Linked DNA regions of Styela clava. The protein of the gene in region 1 purifies or fractionates together with the protein of each later gene. This does not show direct contact. Links are inferred from orthologs where the notes say so. Each region holds a gene or a part of one and is shown on either strand. Other genes may lie near its edges.

Region 1 (8,253 bases):
AACTGTCTTTGCCCAGTAGGCTACATGGTATAAAATTGGGAAGGCAGTTCTGGAAACAAAGCTTTGATAAATCCGAAAAATAGTAGTTTTATACATAACAGTGATTTCTATCCAAAGCCTTGCTCAGATTCAAATAGTAAATAATAAAAAAAAAAGATAAAAACTTAAATCTTACCTTGCAATCTCCAACCTGGACAAGTTTTCCATTCACGATTTTGGAAACGCAGGCTCCAGCTGACGAAAAAAATAGGAAATGGAATATAACGAAATCTTGGGCGAAAAGTTATGGGTACCACGTTCCGGTGTCCGCCATCTTGGTTCAAATATTTTGGGAGTACCGAATTATAGGCGTTGAGAGTGATATCTCTCTATAAAAATTAAGGAATCTTTAATATTTCACAATCGTGGTACCAGAAGCCAGCGGTGGAAAAAAGTGTATCAAGTAATTGTGTCCGAAACAAATCTTACCCGGTACTTTTAGTTCCGCAAATAAGCCACAGATGAGAGAGATGAACAAAATAATTTTAAGAAAGTCCATGTTTGCTTTTAGAAAGGTTTGATGACACAGCTAAATGCTTAGATATAAAGTAAATAACTGTAAAAATATTTAAGGTTATTGCAGGATTAGTACCGTCATAATTAGCTGTTTTAATTGGCATTTTCGAGTAAGTTTTGTGGAAAAAATGCAGTAATATAAAATAATATTTGAGTAGAGGCTATGAGGCAGACTATTAGTTGAGGCACAACTCAAACAATTTAGAGTCAAATATAGCTTTAAGGTTTATCATTTTGATTTACACGGCTCGTGAATTTGAATGACCCTGCTTGACATGCGCATGATCCAACAAACTAGCCTGAACGAACAAAAAATATAAAACATACATTGCCATTCTGACGACTATAAGCTACCTTGGCAATATTTACCCAAAACTTAGACAATCCTGTCACTACAGTATTTAATTTATAATTTCTAGTCGTCATACCTCAAGTCGTTCATGTGATACAGGACATCGAGAGATCTATGTTTACGCATCTTATCGTTGTTGTCTTCTACATAAAACGCCCTTCTCATGCAGCAACCATATAGGTCATTTCCTATTCCCATATCGAAATTTTTCGCGGACGAAAATTTATCCTGAGTCATCCATTGTGATTGTACAGGAAAAATCCAGTTAGCGTTATCGCCGTGCATTTTATGGGACATCGGAATTTTCTCGTTTTGCGTGATTTTCCAGTGCTTCATTTGTTGCGTAATTCGTGAGGATATCAGCATAAGATGTGCCCTTGCAAAAGATCAAGACAAAATAACCACCCAGTTTAGCCTCCACACAATTGAAGGAAGGTACCTTTATGACGTCCGCCAATGAAATACCTAGATGTGTAGATGTTTCATAAATTTATTTTAATTTTTAGGTTAATCTGCAAAAAAGCTGTGTTCTGAGCAAAGATGTGTTGCCTCTCACGAAAACAATTTCTAAATTAATCAATTTTAAATAACCTTTTACCCAAGAAAAATCCGAAATGCGAGTGGTGGCGATTTAAAATATAAAGTAACTATTTGTCGTTCACAAGCCTTGAAGCCCAGGTTCCCATTTCTGTAAAGATAAATAGTCCTTGTGAAGATGCTGCTTTCTACTTATTCGATATCTGTTGCAGCATGTCAATCCTGGTACGAGATCTATTGGCAGGGTGGCCAACCCGCGGCTCGCGAGTCCCATGTGGCTCTTTTCGCCTTGGTTATTCTAAGAAGAAACTTGCTGACTACGATTCATCACGTTTCGATGGTCATATTTATGAATCATAGTTCATTCTTCTTTTAAGTCGCTTAAAAGCGAGCGCTTTCTTCATTCAGTTCACCATGCAATCGACCATTATCACGCCATAATAGTATTAGTTGGTGTGAGAATCGTTTATTGAACTGCAACGGCTGTCGTACTCGTATAGGAAACGAAGACCGGCGGCAACCGCGTAGCTTACCATTTGACGGAAGTAATCGAAATGCAGAAAAAACGTTTCGTCCTTGCTAGGGTAGCAAAGTTGGGGGTAAAATATTTATCTCATATCACTACTGGTAACTCTGAAGAGGTATCATCTGAATTCAAATGTAAGTAGTTGAATATAACAGTATTTTATTTCTGTAGTTTTAGGGTCAGTTTATCAAATAGGACATGCGGACCGAGCATAAAAATGGGAAGGCTCGAACTTCGTGAACTAGTTGTCTTTGTATTAGTATATTTAAACAATTTGTGTTCGCTCTGAAAATGGTAGGAAAGAAAATATGAAGATGAACGCCGGACCTTTTTAACAGAGTGGGAGAGCATATATCTTTCGTTGTACGTAATGGCAAACCATTCTGCCTTATATGTCAGCCATCGCTAGCGCATTTCAAATCCTCAATCCTCAGCGCCACCTCACTCCATGATAACATGACCATGAATTTCCGAAGGGTAATCAATTTGATAAGTCAAGCTGAAAAGCAGAAACTGTTTTCCATAATTTCATAAAGCACTCAGACACTGTGGCGCTTGCATCGTGTCGCATTAGAGCTGTGACATAGAAGACAAGCCTGAATTGGGAATATTCGGAAGATCTGTTTCAAAAGATTGTTCAATCAAGAAAGAACTTATTGATATCGTGACATTAAAAGACAGGACCCGTGGCATAGATGTGAAAAGCAATATTGGCTACATTTGAAAAAGCAAATCTGCCCATATCAAAAATAGCAGCAATAAACACGGATGGTGCGCCAGTAAGAATCGGATGTGTGAACAGACTCGTGGGGCTGTATCATTATTACTGTATCATTCACAGGGAGCAACTCGTGTCTAACTCGTTGAATTTGGACAACGTCACGAAGACTATAATAACAAGAGAGCTGTGCTCAAATATATGGACACGTCACAACGTGTCGCTATTTTTTATTCCGACACATAAAAAAACGAATCTCTTGAAGTCCACAGAAATTTTTAAGTAATTTAGAAAATACCCTTCTGGCAAAAAAATCAATCTTTAATCACTGAAAATTGGTCCAGTATTCGAAGAGAAAAGCGATTTCATCATGACGAAAGAGAATAATAATACTAACAAAAACAACAACATAATATTGAAACGATCGTTATGTACACTGACGTGTCCAAAAATCGTTAAATGCAGATAAGAACATCTGCACGCATGCGCTCAACCACCGGCAATTCAGCAATCCGATTACTGAGCTGGATCAAGGGCTTTCGGGTGACCTGTGAAGCTGTTCATGGAAGAGAACTATCCCGAGCGCTCGGACCTCGAGTGGATTATGGATCTGGACTTTCACTTGAACAGACTGAACCTGAATTTGCAGGGCAAGTTAAAAAATCTGCCCGACATAGTGCAATGTGTGTTCTCGTTTGTTAATAAACTGAAGCTGTTCAAGGCGCATATTCCAGGAAGAAAGTTAACCAATTTTCCCACTCTGCTAAATGCCAGCGGGCAAAACACTATCGACTCATTTAATCCTGGAACGGGTTGTTTAAAATTCTCTCCAGTCTCAGATGAGCCTGCGACTGAGTTGGAAATGATCGATCTTCATGAGGAGGGCCAACTGAAATGGACTTTATCGAGTTATAAAAATGCATGCAAATATAAAAATACCCCAATGTCAAACGAGCTGGGCAAAGGCTATTGTCAATGTTTGGGCCTACATACGTCTACGAATCTGTCTTTTCTACCTTAAAACACGTGAAAATACAAATACAAGCCGCGATACGTTCTGACTGGCATCCTTGTGAAAGAACTGCTTCTATTGACAACAACAAAATACAAGCCAGATTTAATGAAGATTGTTCAATCCAAGGAATGCCAGAAGTCCCACTAAGTATCATGCATAACAATGAATGGCTTGTAAATTACAGTCATAATCATTGTTATCGCCAATATCTTGAAATATTAATATTTCTCCCGCAAGTTGGCGCCATGGACCAGCTCATCGAATGCTTGGCTATTGCACCACAATGACTTTGTGGAAGTGACGTCAGGGGACTGCGCACGCTGCAGGGTTCTGGAAGCTGCAGACGTCTGTCTGAGAGTGGTATTTTAGGGTTTATAATTGAATAATTAGTGAACGACTTAGGCTTGTAGTGATAGATATATGTAGGGTATTTATTTGTACTGCTAATAATGGTGTATTATTGATATTCCTCACAGTTGTCATTGTAATATTGCTAAGTAATTCAGTCAAGATATTGTGATTTAATGTTCAAGTTACTGCTTGACAACCCTTGAGGACACAACGTCAAGTGAGTTTATACGTACAGTTTTATATTCTAAGTTGTACATGGTCTGTATTTGTTTTCCTGTCAGGCCTTGAAAATGCCGGCTGAGGTAATTTGTTTGTTTATTTATTATAACCGTTAGTGATGCCATAATTGGTCATTAGGTGATTGTGTGACATAATAAAGATAATTAAGGTTTGTTTACAATAATATAGGCCTACTGATACGATACTGCCCCGATCTTGTTTTTTAATATTTGTGTATTTATTATTTTCATAGTATTTCAGAAAACCGTACTACTGTATTGTTGTTCGCACTTTATTGTTCGTACTACGTTGTCTGTTCGTATTGGTTTACACTGTTTGCAACACATCACAAGAAAATAAAACATCTTATGCTGATACAGTGATAGTACGTGTCTTTTTGGGAGTGCAACCTGGTCGTCAAGAGTATTGGTATTGGCCATCCGTACACCCTATGTGGGCAGAGTCCGCGCTCCACAATTAAGATTTAATCAAGGCTCTGCGCCAACAATCATGTTGGTTTGTGACATTTACAATAAACTAGCATTCTAGCAGAGCTGAATATGGGTATATTTAATGTTCATTATTGTCAGGGTAAGGTACTGCCGTCCAAAGAAGTATATAAGAGGAGGGAAGATAGGAATTTATAAGTTGAAGTCAAACATGGAAGAATAGTACAAATATGTCCACGGAAAGAGACGAAGAATTAAAAAGATAAAAGAAGTTATAAAAGATAACATACAAATATAAGGTCGTAAAAAAGCTACTAGACAAAATTGATGCCAGAGGGCGGCAAATAAGTTTGGTAATACAAGAAATAATTAGTACAGTACCGAAATGAACTGGACCGACTACGACAATACATTAAAATAGACATCATCTGGGATGGCTTTGGCTATTATCGTCATATCTCTGATCGCGATTGTGGCCCTGTTGGGTGGATGTGCCGGATAATGATAGAAATCGAGGACGGAGTGACTGAACCATATAGAGTTAGATTAAACAATATTGTTCCTCGTTATGAAGATATTTAATGTTATAAAAATATATTTCAGGCACAATGAGTTGGTATAATTGGATGAAACAAAGGTGGGCGTATGCAGAGAGTGCGACTGGAGCTAGTTATGAATTTATGCCGGATGCGATGGGTTATCATATAGAAATACAACAATTACGCATGAGAATAGATGAATCAGAGGGAGATATTGGGGATAAATAAGCGGGTGGAGTAAAAAGAGAGAGACAGATAGAGATACTTATAAGAAGAGTTAAAAATATTACGAATGCTAAAAAGGAAGAAGTGGCAGAGTTTCAAAAATTAAGAAACACAGTGCTGAGGAATGCGACGAAAAATGGGGAGAGTAGTGGAGGGATATTAAGTGATATAGCGGGGGGAATTCGAGGAAGATTCGTAGGAGCAAAAGGAGGTACACTTGCAGGAGAGGTAGGTGGAGGACTATCAGGGTTAGGAGGAGAATTGCCCAGCATAGGAGCAGATATTGCAACAACAGCGTTTGAAATATATCAAAAGCAGCAGCAGGTTCAGTGAAATAACATCAGACACGGTGAGAAGAAAGTTAACGCACGGAAACAATGACAAAATAGAAGATTATAGGAAAATGATATATAAAAAAAAATGGACTGGTAAAAAGACCGGCAATGGCAGTAGTCAGTAGATAACTTAGCCGGAGGAGGGAGAGGCTGAGACATTATATATAGATGTTCCCCCGAGCATCGAAGAACGTCGAGTTTATATTCGTAGCAATGACCAATGAGTATTTTCTTCTTTTGATCAGTGTCTCACATCCTAATCGCCCGTTTTTATATCGTGTCTTTATTTGACTGTTTTTAGTGTACGAGCACGTACTTGTACGTTTTGAACTTCTTCATTAAGTTATGCCTGTCCTCCAGGTCCTCTTGTTTGACCGTTTTTTGCCTTTTTTTTTTTTTTGAGTGACGAAAATAAAAGTGATTAATCGATTGATACTACCAGCTCGGTGATTAAACATTTGAGAACCTTTCATTAATGTATTAATGCTTAGTATTAATGCCGTGATTGGGAAAAGGAGTGTCGATGTTCTGGATGTGAATACTCAGCAAACTATTACGCAAATATTCGCTGAAAAACAGAAAATGAATCATCGCATCCCGCCTATGAAAGGATCACAAAGAAAATTGACGAAATGATTGGAGCGTATTTTGTTCCATATTTGATAGTCGAAAACGAACGATTTATACGACTAATTGCGGATTCGGAACCTAGTTACCAGGTGCCGCCACGCAGACATTTGACGAAATGGATAATTCCAGAGACTTACCAGAAAGTGAAAAACAAAACAAAAATTGTCGATGAACGAGGCGGTCGGGCCAATAACCGATATATGGTAGATATTTTGTTATTAGTGATAAACTATTTTCTAGGGGGTTGTTCACCGGGTGTAGGGAAATTGCTGATTGTGCACCAGGTAGATATGAACCCTGTTATGTCGCCGCGAGAGTGCGTAGATGTTTCGGTTCTGACGCTGGCATCTAATGGCTGTAGATTCGACATAAGGAGTGAACGAATGTTACGAGAAATGTTTATCGCATGAAGAGCTGTATGATGATCTCTACAAGAATCTTGGGCACCACAGAATCCTGGAAGAAAATGTGAAAGCCTGCGACATTAATGATGATGCCTCCAGCTTTATGATAATATCAAATCGAAGCTAAATTCAACGCAACTGGCACCTTGTGTCGCAGAACAGAGAATTTAAAAGATGCATGGAAAAAAATAAAAAATAAAGCCAAGCAAGACAACGCTCAGCGCAAACGACATTTAAAGCAGACTAGAAGTGGGCCTGGTGTGGCTTGCGATGAGCTAAAAGAGAAAGTTGAGGGTATGTTATCTGCATTTTTCACATAATTTACAGGATTCAAATTTTCTATGCCTTGAATGTTTGCAAAAACTCCCAAACAACTGCTGTCACAGCGGAAGCGTACAAGATTGGCAATTTAAGGAGATTAAAGAAAAATGACTTTGGAACTCCGCTGAAGACATTCTGAAAAATCAACAACAAAAAAAAAAACATTGAGAAAGTCGGGAGAATCAATTAGCGGTAGTCTTTGCCCATTTATCTTCCTGGGAAGTTCAATTCGACAAAAGTACTGGTATTACTTATGAAGTGAAACTATTATAAAGCAAGGCATTCGAATATGCTGTTTGAATTACAACAGTTCGGCGAACTGTTAGTACAGCATGAAATAGTGGGAATTATATTAATTGTTGAGATGAATATTATGAGATTTCCTTTACAGAATTACAATCGCCCGAAACAACCCTTGAACCACTCGTTGTTGTTTTTATTTGCAGAAAATCGGATACTCTGTAGGATGTGTACCAGGTTAGGGTTAGGCCATAATTTTATTCCGATTTTCCCTATTTTAGTTCTACCCCCAGTTCGGGGACTGTTTGTATTAGCCAAGTGAATATACTCCCTTCACATAAGCTTCCGTTCATTTACACAACTTGATGTAAAGTAGGCGAACGACATTTGTTACCTTCATATTGGCACACATACTTCTGGAGCGCCGAAAATCGTGTACAGAAAGCTTAGACTTGGTGGGTTTTGTAGAAAAACTAGCGAGCTTAGTTTCGGATACAAGTACGGTTGCTACTCGAGTATTGGCATTCTATCTGGCTTGGAATAAAGCAACAACATCAAGTAGACTTAACGAATCCGTCAGAACCATCAAAAGATTTAACAATGGAAGTGGACACAAACAACTACCGTGGTACAAAACAGCCGAAAGAACAAAATGGAGAAGCTGTGAATGGAAATCAAACATATGTATTAGCAAGTTTACATTCCCGGGATTTGATGAAGAAGGATTTACACTTAACTTGGACAGAGAGCGCAAATATGTCGTGGACTTTAAAGGACTACTCAATACTAACGCTCATGATGTATAATGGTGTGGCGACATCTATTTTGCCAATTAGG
Region 2 (8,025 bases), on another chromosome or scaffold:
GATATGCCTGCTTAGTTCCATTTGCTTTTTACAACAATGTCTATTTATGTAATTTGATCATATCATGGCCATGTACAACAAGCAGCCAGTGGGTAATACCTAACGAAATCTAAGGAGTTGCATATCACATATTACTTTTCATAGTATCATGTCGATATCAAGTTTCTGGCAATTTGTGAATTTAGTTGAGTCAAGCAAGTGTGTACTCACATGAGAATATCTTAACGTTGGTTCTTCGCCAATATCATAACTATAAACTTCTACTGTACCATCTTCTCTTCCCACCAAAAGATCAGGCGTTCCGTTCCCAGTCATATCATGATGTGCCAAGCAGGATACCCCACCTAAATTTCTATCATTAGGTAGCTCCCATGTATGATTGGGTTCATCCCTATCAATAAAATGTAAAAGATTAATTTTTCTTGATTTTGATGTCTGCTTGATATTTGATTTAATCATGGTTTTGTTTGATTTCGTACGAACATTTTTTCACTTGATCTGTAAAATCATTCTTCAAACTAGAACACACAGAGTGATATTTTGAGGTTGGGATAAGAATAAATGTTTTAATATATTGTCTATAGACCATTCAGGTCAGACAGGATGATAAATTAGCACGTAAACGGTCAATATACAGAATATACTCAGATGGAAAGTAGACAGAAGCTAATTGGTATAATATTTTTACCTTGACATTCAAGTGATTGCTCAAAGCCTTGGCCGGACAATGCTGGTATAAATTTAAAACCGGGGTACTGGGGTACAAAAGGGTTAAATCTTAGCACTACATAACCCCCACCTGAAATAAGCGTCCTTGGGAGGACTGGGCGACTTTCTAAACAACCTCGTAATAATTTTAAATTTAAACTGATCAAAATAGTGGTTTTATGATATATGGTCATTTGATAGACCCTAGCAACAGCTCTCAGCTCTACATACCTGCCAACGACAATATGGCCAATCGTTCCATCTACAGTCCCATATATTATTTCATTTCCCTCTTCACCTGCGTTACCAAGGTAAGGAACTATGCATTGTGGAACACCAGCTACTTCAATTTCATATCGTAGCTCAGTGCCCTGTATAAAGATTTATTTAGAAATTATACAATGAAATTAAGCTAGGGAGCTTTATGTAGAGGTCTAGACAAAATAGGTGGAGAATAGCAAAAGTAATCAATTCCAAAGTGGACAGATAGACAATATAATAATATCGAGGATGGTTATTTAACATCACCTATATTTTGATCAGATGAAACCATAAGATACTGTGAACATATGTATTGCTGAGGAATGTTCTGCAATTTGATCCATGCTATTTAATGCTTTGTGCTAGATAATTTATCTGAAACTTGTTTATCTGAAACTTAATTTATCAAAGCACATCATAAATATTTGATGCCAATAGGTATTTGAGAATCAATAATATGTGGGTGGCTGATAGCTGGTAAGTTATTGCTCTATTTACTATCAAGTCCATGCATCTGAAACAAATAACTGGTTATTTATTCCTTTATCGACATGAACTGGTAACGGGACGTAGGACGTAGTTCGCCATATGATTAAGTTTTGTTATTAAATTTCCTATTCATGGGATAAATATGAAAATTCTAAGCTATATTCAAGATGCTGAGTTGAGATTTAAGATTCAAGTTGATAAACAAAAAATATCCAAAGCACACATTTTTTATTATCGTCAAACTTGTAAGATCATCTTACATCAAGAACACGAAGTAATCTGTCATTGCAAGCTAGAATTGGTGTGAAATTGTCGCCTTCTTTTCGAAGTACAGGAATACATATGATATCATTTATTTTATCGCTGCTCAGATAATATCCTTTGTCAATGCAATCACAAAAATGATTGTAAATATATTCTCCTGCAATGAGAAGGTCACTTCCGCTCACACAACTAGAAATGAAATTGAAAATAATTAAATCATAAAAAGAAACACGAGGTTTTCTATACATTTTATCTAAACAAGGCATTTTATAAGCACCATAAAGATATTTCTGGTCTTGCAATGACAGGGTGAAGAGGATTTAGAACTGAACAAAGACCTGAAAATCTTTGGCCTGTGATATCATGATAGCCAAGACGCCACATCAGGCAATTATTTCTGTATATAAATGTGATTTTGCTTTAGTCACTCAGGTGATCTTACTTTGTAATATTTTATACAAAAATATGTAGCAAAATTTTGCAAAGAACATTTATATCATAGCTACAATAGAGCATAAAAGTTCGATAAAATCAAATTCTATATCATACAGAAACTATCCCTTAGATATACAGGGTGACCCAAAACACAGAACCCATAAATCGCAACAATTACGGTAATTAAAACATTATTTAACATTTGAAATTCTTTTTGTGTATGATTCTACCAAAAAGTTTTACTAATCTAGGATGCTTCACACAAAAGTTATGTTCCCTCCAGAATATGTTTTAACTGATCTAGATTTTGTATTTTGGGTCACTCAGTTAACATTTATTATCTTACATGCACTTTATGTTTTCTGTAATATTTGTGTCAAATCCTAGAAACTTTTTTCCTTTTCTTGAGTAGCCGTGCACAACAGAACCAGATGCAACAAATATTTTATCTTGCGGAGTTCCTAATGCACCACCCAAATCCAGAAAATTGTTTGGTTCTCCTGGCAAAGTCTTGAAAACATTCTGAAAAATGAGATTTTACCATAAAAAATTGTTTATTTTGCAATCCGAAGATAATAAATAAATTATTTACAGAAATATCTCTTTTTTTCGATCCAAAACAAGTAACAACCCCGCTCTTGTCCGCAACTACAACTTTCTGCAAAATTCTTTTTGATTTTTCATTGTTGGGTAAAACTTTCATGCAATTTTTTCCGGTAACTGCGACCTGTGATATGAAAAAACATATAGTATTGACAATGACAAGTATAAATTTATCTGGTATTTTGACATCATAAATGGAATTTTATCTAAATTAAGCCGAGATGATTCTCTGTCAAATACAACTGTTAATAGTCAGTGCCCAGAACATAAGAGCATAGTTCAATGCAATAAGCTCACAGCATAGAGGTTAGCTTACAAGGACTATGTCGATGTTACAGCTTGAGTAATACTATAAGCAAAATAAAAAAATACCTGCAAGTAATCCACCCTGTGAAGATCCAAATCCATGTGTGAAAAATATTCTAATAAATTATTTATACACTATAAAAATACAGCGAAGTTGTCATAAATTGATAGATACAGTGAGTGATATAAACTGGAATTATAGGAAGCTTTAAATGATACAAGCATGTAATGAAACTAAAACAAAATAAGTTGACAGTGAAATACATAAATACTGGGAATATTTGAAAATGACTTGAAACTGAAATAAGTATGAGTATATATATATAAGCCTTAGAAATCTTATAATGCCATACTATAGAACAAACACTAAAGAGAACATGGAGACATAAAATTTAAAAATTATACTGTATCAATGCCTAGGTTTTGTTCCCTAAATTATAAAAATATATCGAAAACTATTGAATAGTTGTGTTCTACTGATTGAATGCAACAAAAAGTTATCACAGAATATCACAATGAATTTATTTCGCCACAAAATTACAGTAAAGAAACTGAATTGGATTTCAACAATAAAGTTGTTATAAACACTGAGAATAATGATAAATGGAACCACAAAAAAAAATTCTGGGTTAAATTAAAAAGAGTATTTAGCTATCAATGATATATGAAACAATCTTTTAATTACAGAATGTGACAATTTCCCTATATTTAATAATAAATTTCAACTAGCGGTTTTCAAAATATCTCAATATGAAGTTTTTGCTAACGATTTGGAATTCATTGTTTTTCTTGTTCTTCTCTTTCCATTTGTGCCAGAGCTTTCTTTTGTCTCACGCCACGTAGTTTACGAATATCTTCACTGTACTGTTGTTCTCGTTGTAGCTGCTTTTTCTGTTCTTCCAATTCTTGTTTATGCTGATTTAAAACCTGACTTCTTCTGATTAAATTAAGAAGTTCCGCTCTGAGTTGTCGATTTTCATACTTTATATTTGTTGTATGTTCGTTCAAACATTGAACAGCTTTTTTGTTAGCTTCCAGAGCTAATGCTTGAATTTTATTTTCACTCTCTTCAGTATATTCTGCCTTTTCCTGCAAAAATTTTGCTTTCAGCTGTTGAATTGTGTCCGAATGTTTTCCACGCATGTGTAGAACTTCACGCTCGAGTTGCTTTATTTTTTTCAACTGATCTTCACGAAGTTCTCGATATTCACCTAAATCTTGAAACTCTTTTCTCGCTTTTGTGAGTAAACTTTCTTTTTCCAAAAGAGTTGCTTTTAACTTATTCTTTTTCTCTTCATAATCCGATAACATTTGTTCTTTTTGAGAATTTATTTTTTCAAGTTCCTTCTGGTTTTGATCGCTTAAAGACACAATTGTTGTTTGACGTTTATGTGTCTTTTTTGCCATGTATGACATGTATTCATGGCTTTCAATTCTGGTATGTTGAGCTTCTTGTTGTAATACTTCATTTTCTTTTCTGAGTTCCTCTGACTGCTTTTTAAGTCTTTCTAAATCGTTAGTCAAATGATTCAGTTCTTTTTTTAAATAAACTTCTCTGTCAGTAGGACCTGTAGGCTCCTTAGCGTTTTCTGCATCATCAGCAGGTGCTTCATCTGCAGCTGCCTTTTTGCCCTTCTTTTTTCCACCTTTCTTTTTGGGCGGCATATTATGTTATCTTAGTTCTGAAAATAAATTATACATTGATTTATTATGTTATGAGAGTATGATAAGTAGCCTGATAAATATTTCAGTGCATTTTATATCCCGATGCACTGATAACTGTATGGAATATTTGAAAATAGCGGCATCAATATTCCTTACACCTCCAGACCTCAGTAAGCCTATATTAAAAAATTTAATATTCAAATGTTTTGAGATCATTTACCATAGTACAGTAGTAGGTTAGTATACTAGTATGTTTTATGTTATAACATTATGATAGGCTATACATCCACCAATGACTTGTGGGTCACAAAGCGACAGTGAAGAATTAACGAAAAGAGCATAAGACTTCGAACTATATACTACTCTGCAGTTTATAATTCACGCATACAATGCCTTCAAGAAAACAAAATTTTATTGACCTAATTTACAAACATAGCAATCTGAAATAAAAACTGAACAGGATGGATTTATGTGATTGGATTAAAAATTATAATTCTCCTAGAGTTGAAATCCTTTGCAAAATCTTTTCAATCCCATAAGACGATTTGCTGTAGTATTACTGCATTGTAAACGATTTTCGATTAATTTATACACATGCGAATCCATGTTTTTATAAATCAATGTCATAAACTAGAGTACCATAAATCACCACTAACTTCTGAACTTATAACTATACCTATAAATGTGGCATGTGTGAAGCTCAAAGATACACAATACAAACCAAGGATTATAAAACTTGTGAAAAAGATGAAACATCATGTTTATAATTTTGCGAGCTTCAATGAATATCTATGACCCACTGTCTTTTTCCCCAGTTTCCACAATCCAGCAATCACTGAATCATGCAATAAAAAAATGATGATTGGCTCATTCATGAAATACAGAAATAAGGTTCGCCACCAATGATATAGGTTTATGTCCACCTTACTGGGTCACAACCTATCGAGGTTGCTCAACTTTTGAACTATTAATAAGACTTGAATGGTCAAAATTGTAAATTGCATAATGGAAAAACACAGAAACACCGCGGTTGGACGTGTCGGTTAACGTCCTCGTGCCACAGTTTGCAGAGAATCGTTGACGCTGAAATCTGAAAATTGCGTTAGAACGTCCTACTGTCCTGTCTGGATATCAATTTTGATGTGAAAAAGCGCGCTACACGAGCAGTTAAGTCTGCTTGTATTTCATAATTTACAAACAGTTGTGGTAATGAACGTCAGGGCGTAACGAAAATTAGGCAAAAAATGAAAAGCGATGTTGGTTTGTTTTCTGCCGAAATATTTCAAATTTTATGCTTGGATGAGCAAAACCTTGGTTACATCATACGCATGATTGATTTCGAACGGTAAGTACGTCAATTTAAATTATTGTGACTTTCTTGACATGAATAAAACAACAAAAAAATACAGTCATACGAAACTGAGAGTAATCCTAGTACGAGTACCGGTATACCGTAACTAACACCAACGTAAGCAACGTTCAAGCACGCGGCCACTCACCAACTAGACAGTATCGTTTTATTTTCCCATTAATCAATAATGAAAGAATGTTGCGCACCCTGTTTTTACCTAAAATTTACAGGGGTGAGCTAGAACTTTCGGTTGCAAATGAAATTGTTCGAACTGGCTTGAGCCACAAATCTGATCCTAATTCGAAAACAGCAGGCAACATCATTGCTCATCATCTTAAAATGGCCTCAATGTCATTCCACCAGGAGCCCAACTACACAAAAAGTTAGTGGCCAGCTGATAAACTTCCATCAAAACGTACATCTGAGATGGCTGCATTATCGCTATATTCGGATAACTTCTAACAGAAACAACTTGCTGAGGAATCAATAAGATATTGTGGATATACTTTACAATATTATTACACCTTTGTTCACAAACAGTTGCTTATTTTGAAAACAGACAAAAATGATAAATCATCATATGATGATTAATTAATTTGCTAAAAGCATCATTAACATCACGGAAAACGGATCGCTATATTCAAATAACTTCCCAACAGAAACATCTGGTTTTATATGGTCGGATGAACACATCTATCAAATAATGTACCGTATCTGCTTTCTAATATTATAACCCCTTCGTGCACAGACAGTTGTTCACAAACAGTTGCTTATTTTGAAAACAGACAAAAATGATAAAATTATCATATGATGATTTATTAATTTGCTAAAAGCATCATTAACATCACCGAAAATGGATCGCTATATTCAAATAACTTCCCAACAGAAACATCTGGTTTTATATGGTCGGATGAACACATCTATCAAAAAATGTACGGTATATGCTTTCTAATATTATTACACCTTCGTGCACAGACAGTTGTTCACAATAAAAACAGGCAAAAATGATAAAATTGATTTATTAATTTGCTAAAAGTACGCATTAAGATGTGTCAAGACCATGTTTCTTGTTGATATTTTTTATTTTTCTGCATAGTTTCATAAAATTCAAATGCTTCTTTTTCGGTCATCTCTCCAAATTCTTTAAAAATCTTCAAGAAAGCATCTCGGACACTATCCGGCATGTTTTTTGAATTCCTAAACATAATAGAGATAAGATAAATTGATACTGACTAAAACAATGATTAACTTATAATAGAGAATACCTACCCTGCTACATAGATATTTCCATTGCATTTACTAATAATATCCCACAGTAATTGACCATGTTCCGCTATCCTGTGCTGAACATAAATTTTTTCATCTTGATCTCTTGAAAATGCAGTGAATAATTGCAGACATCTATCTTGAATCAAACTATTCCACTCTTCTTGAAAATAAAAATCAGCATCCTTATTCCGACATCCAAAAAAGAGAACATTTCCTGAAAAAGGGAATTTTACATGCAATGCAATTACGTATTTCAGAAATTTTCAGTCTAAACCAACCTATAAACCAGTGCTTCTCCACCTTTTATAGTTGTGGAACCGCGATATGCTATTGGGCTCATCACAGAACCTTTACTAACAATTATCCAAAACAGCCATAAACATATAAGTCAAATTTTTCAGTGTTGGACACTCTGACAACGAAAAGTCATCACAGAAGATAAAATGGCTCAATGTTGCTCAATGAAATATTTATACATATCTACACTATTCGAACGACTTCTGGTTTTATTCTTTATAGTTGGTAAACTAATAGATATTGGAAAATTGACACAGAGAGAAACCACAACTCGAAGAGAAACCCCAACCGGACACTACAGAATTCTCAGAACTCACCTAACCCCAGTTGAAAAGCACTGATATAAGCCAATTACAGTATCAACAGTGGGCACTGTG

Evidence for each region. Proteins that work in one complex are often made in the same cells at the same time.
Region 2: the proteins of leucine zipper transcription factor-like protein 1 (region 1) and BBSome complex member BBS7-like purify together in Homo sapiens (affinity purification with mass spectrometry; 3 studies listed by BioGRID and IntAct, counting the BioPlex papers as one, with this or other methods). This does not show direct contact. The link is inferred for Styela clava from reciprocal best matches to the Homo sapiens genes LZTFL1 and BBS7.

Annotation. Positions count from the first base shown.
Region 1 is NC_135252.1:24,401,656-24,409,908, reverse strand, and holds the start of leucine zipper transcription factor-like protein 1, read right to left. Parts: upstream 3,200-8,253; 5' UTR 3,189-3,199; intron 579-3,188; exon of another isoform or gene 539-578; coding exon of another isoform or gene 469-538; intron 235-468; coding exon of another isoform or gene 176-234; intron 1-175. Other genes in the region: uncharacterized protein LOC120343336, read right to left, coding at 176-234, 469-538. UniProt on the Homo sapiens protein: Regulates ciliary localization of the BBSome complex. Together with the BBSome complex, controls SMO ciliary trafficking and contributes to the sonic hedgehog (SHH) pathway regulation. May play a role in neurite outgrowth. May have tumor suppressor function.
Region 2 is NC_135263.1:9,596,805-9,604,829, reverse strand, and holds the start of BBSome complex member BBS7-like, read right to left. Parts: upstream 3,290-8,025; 5' UTR 3,169-3,289; coding exon 3,133-3,168; intron 2,885-3,132; coding exon 2,750-2,884; intron 2,680-2,749; coding exon 2,504-2,679; intron 1,912-2,503; coding exon 1,719-1,911; intron 1,080-1,718; coding exon 940-1,079; intron 392-939; coding exon 211-391; intron 1-210. Other genes in the region: coiled-coil domain-containing protein 166-like, read right to left, coding at 3,844-4,731; NADPH-dependent diflavin oxidoreductase 1-like, read right to left, coding at 7,135-7,279, 7,352-7,565.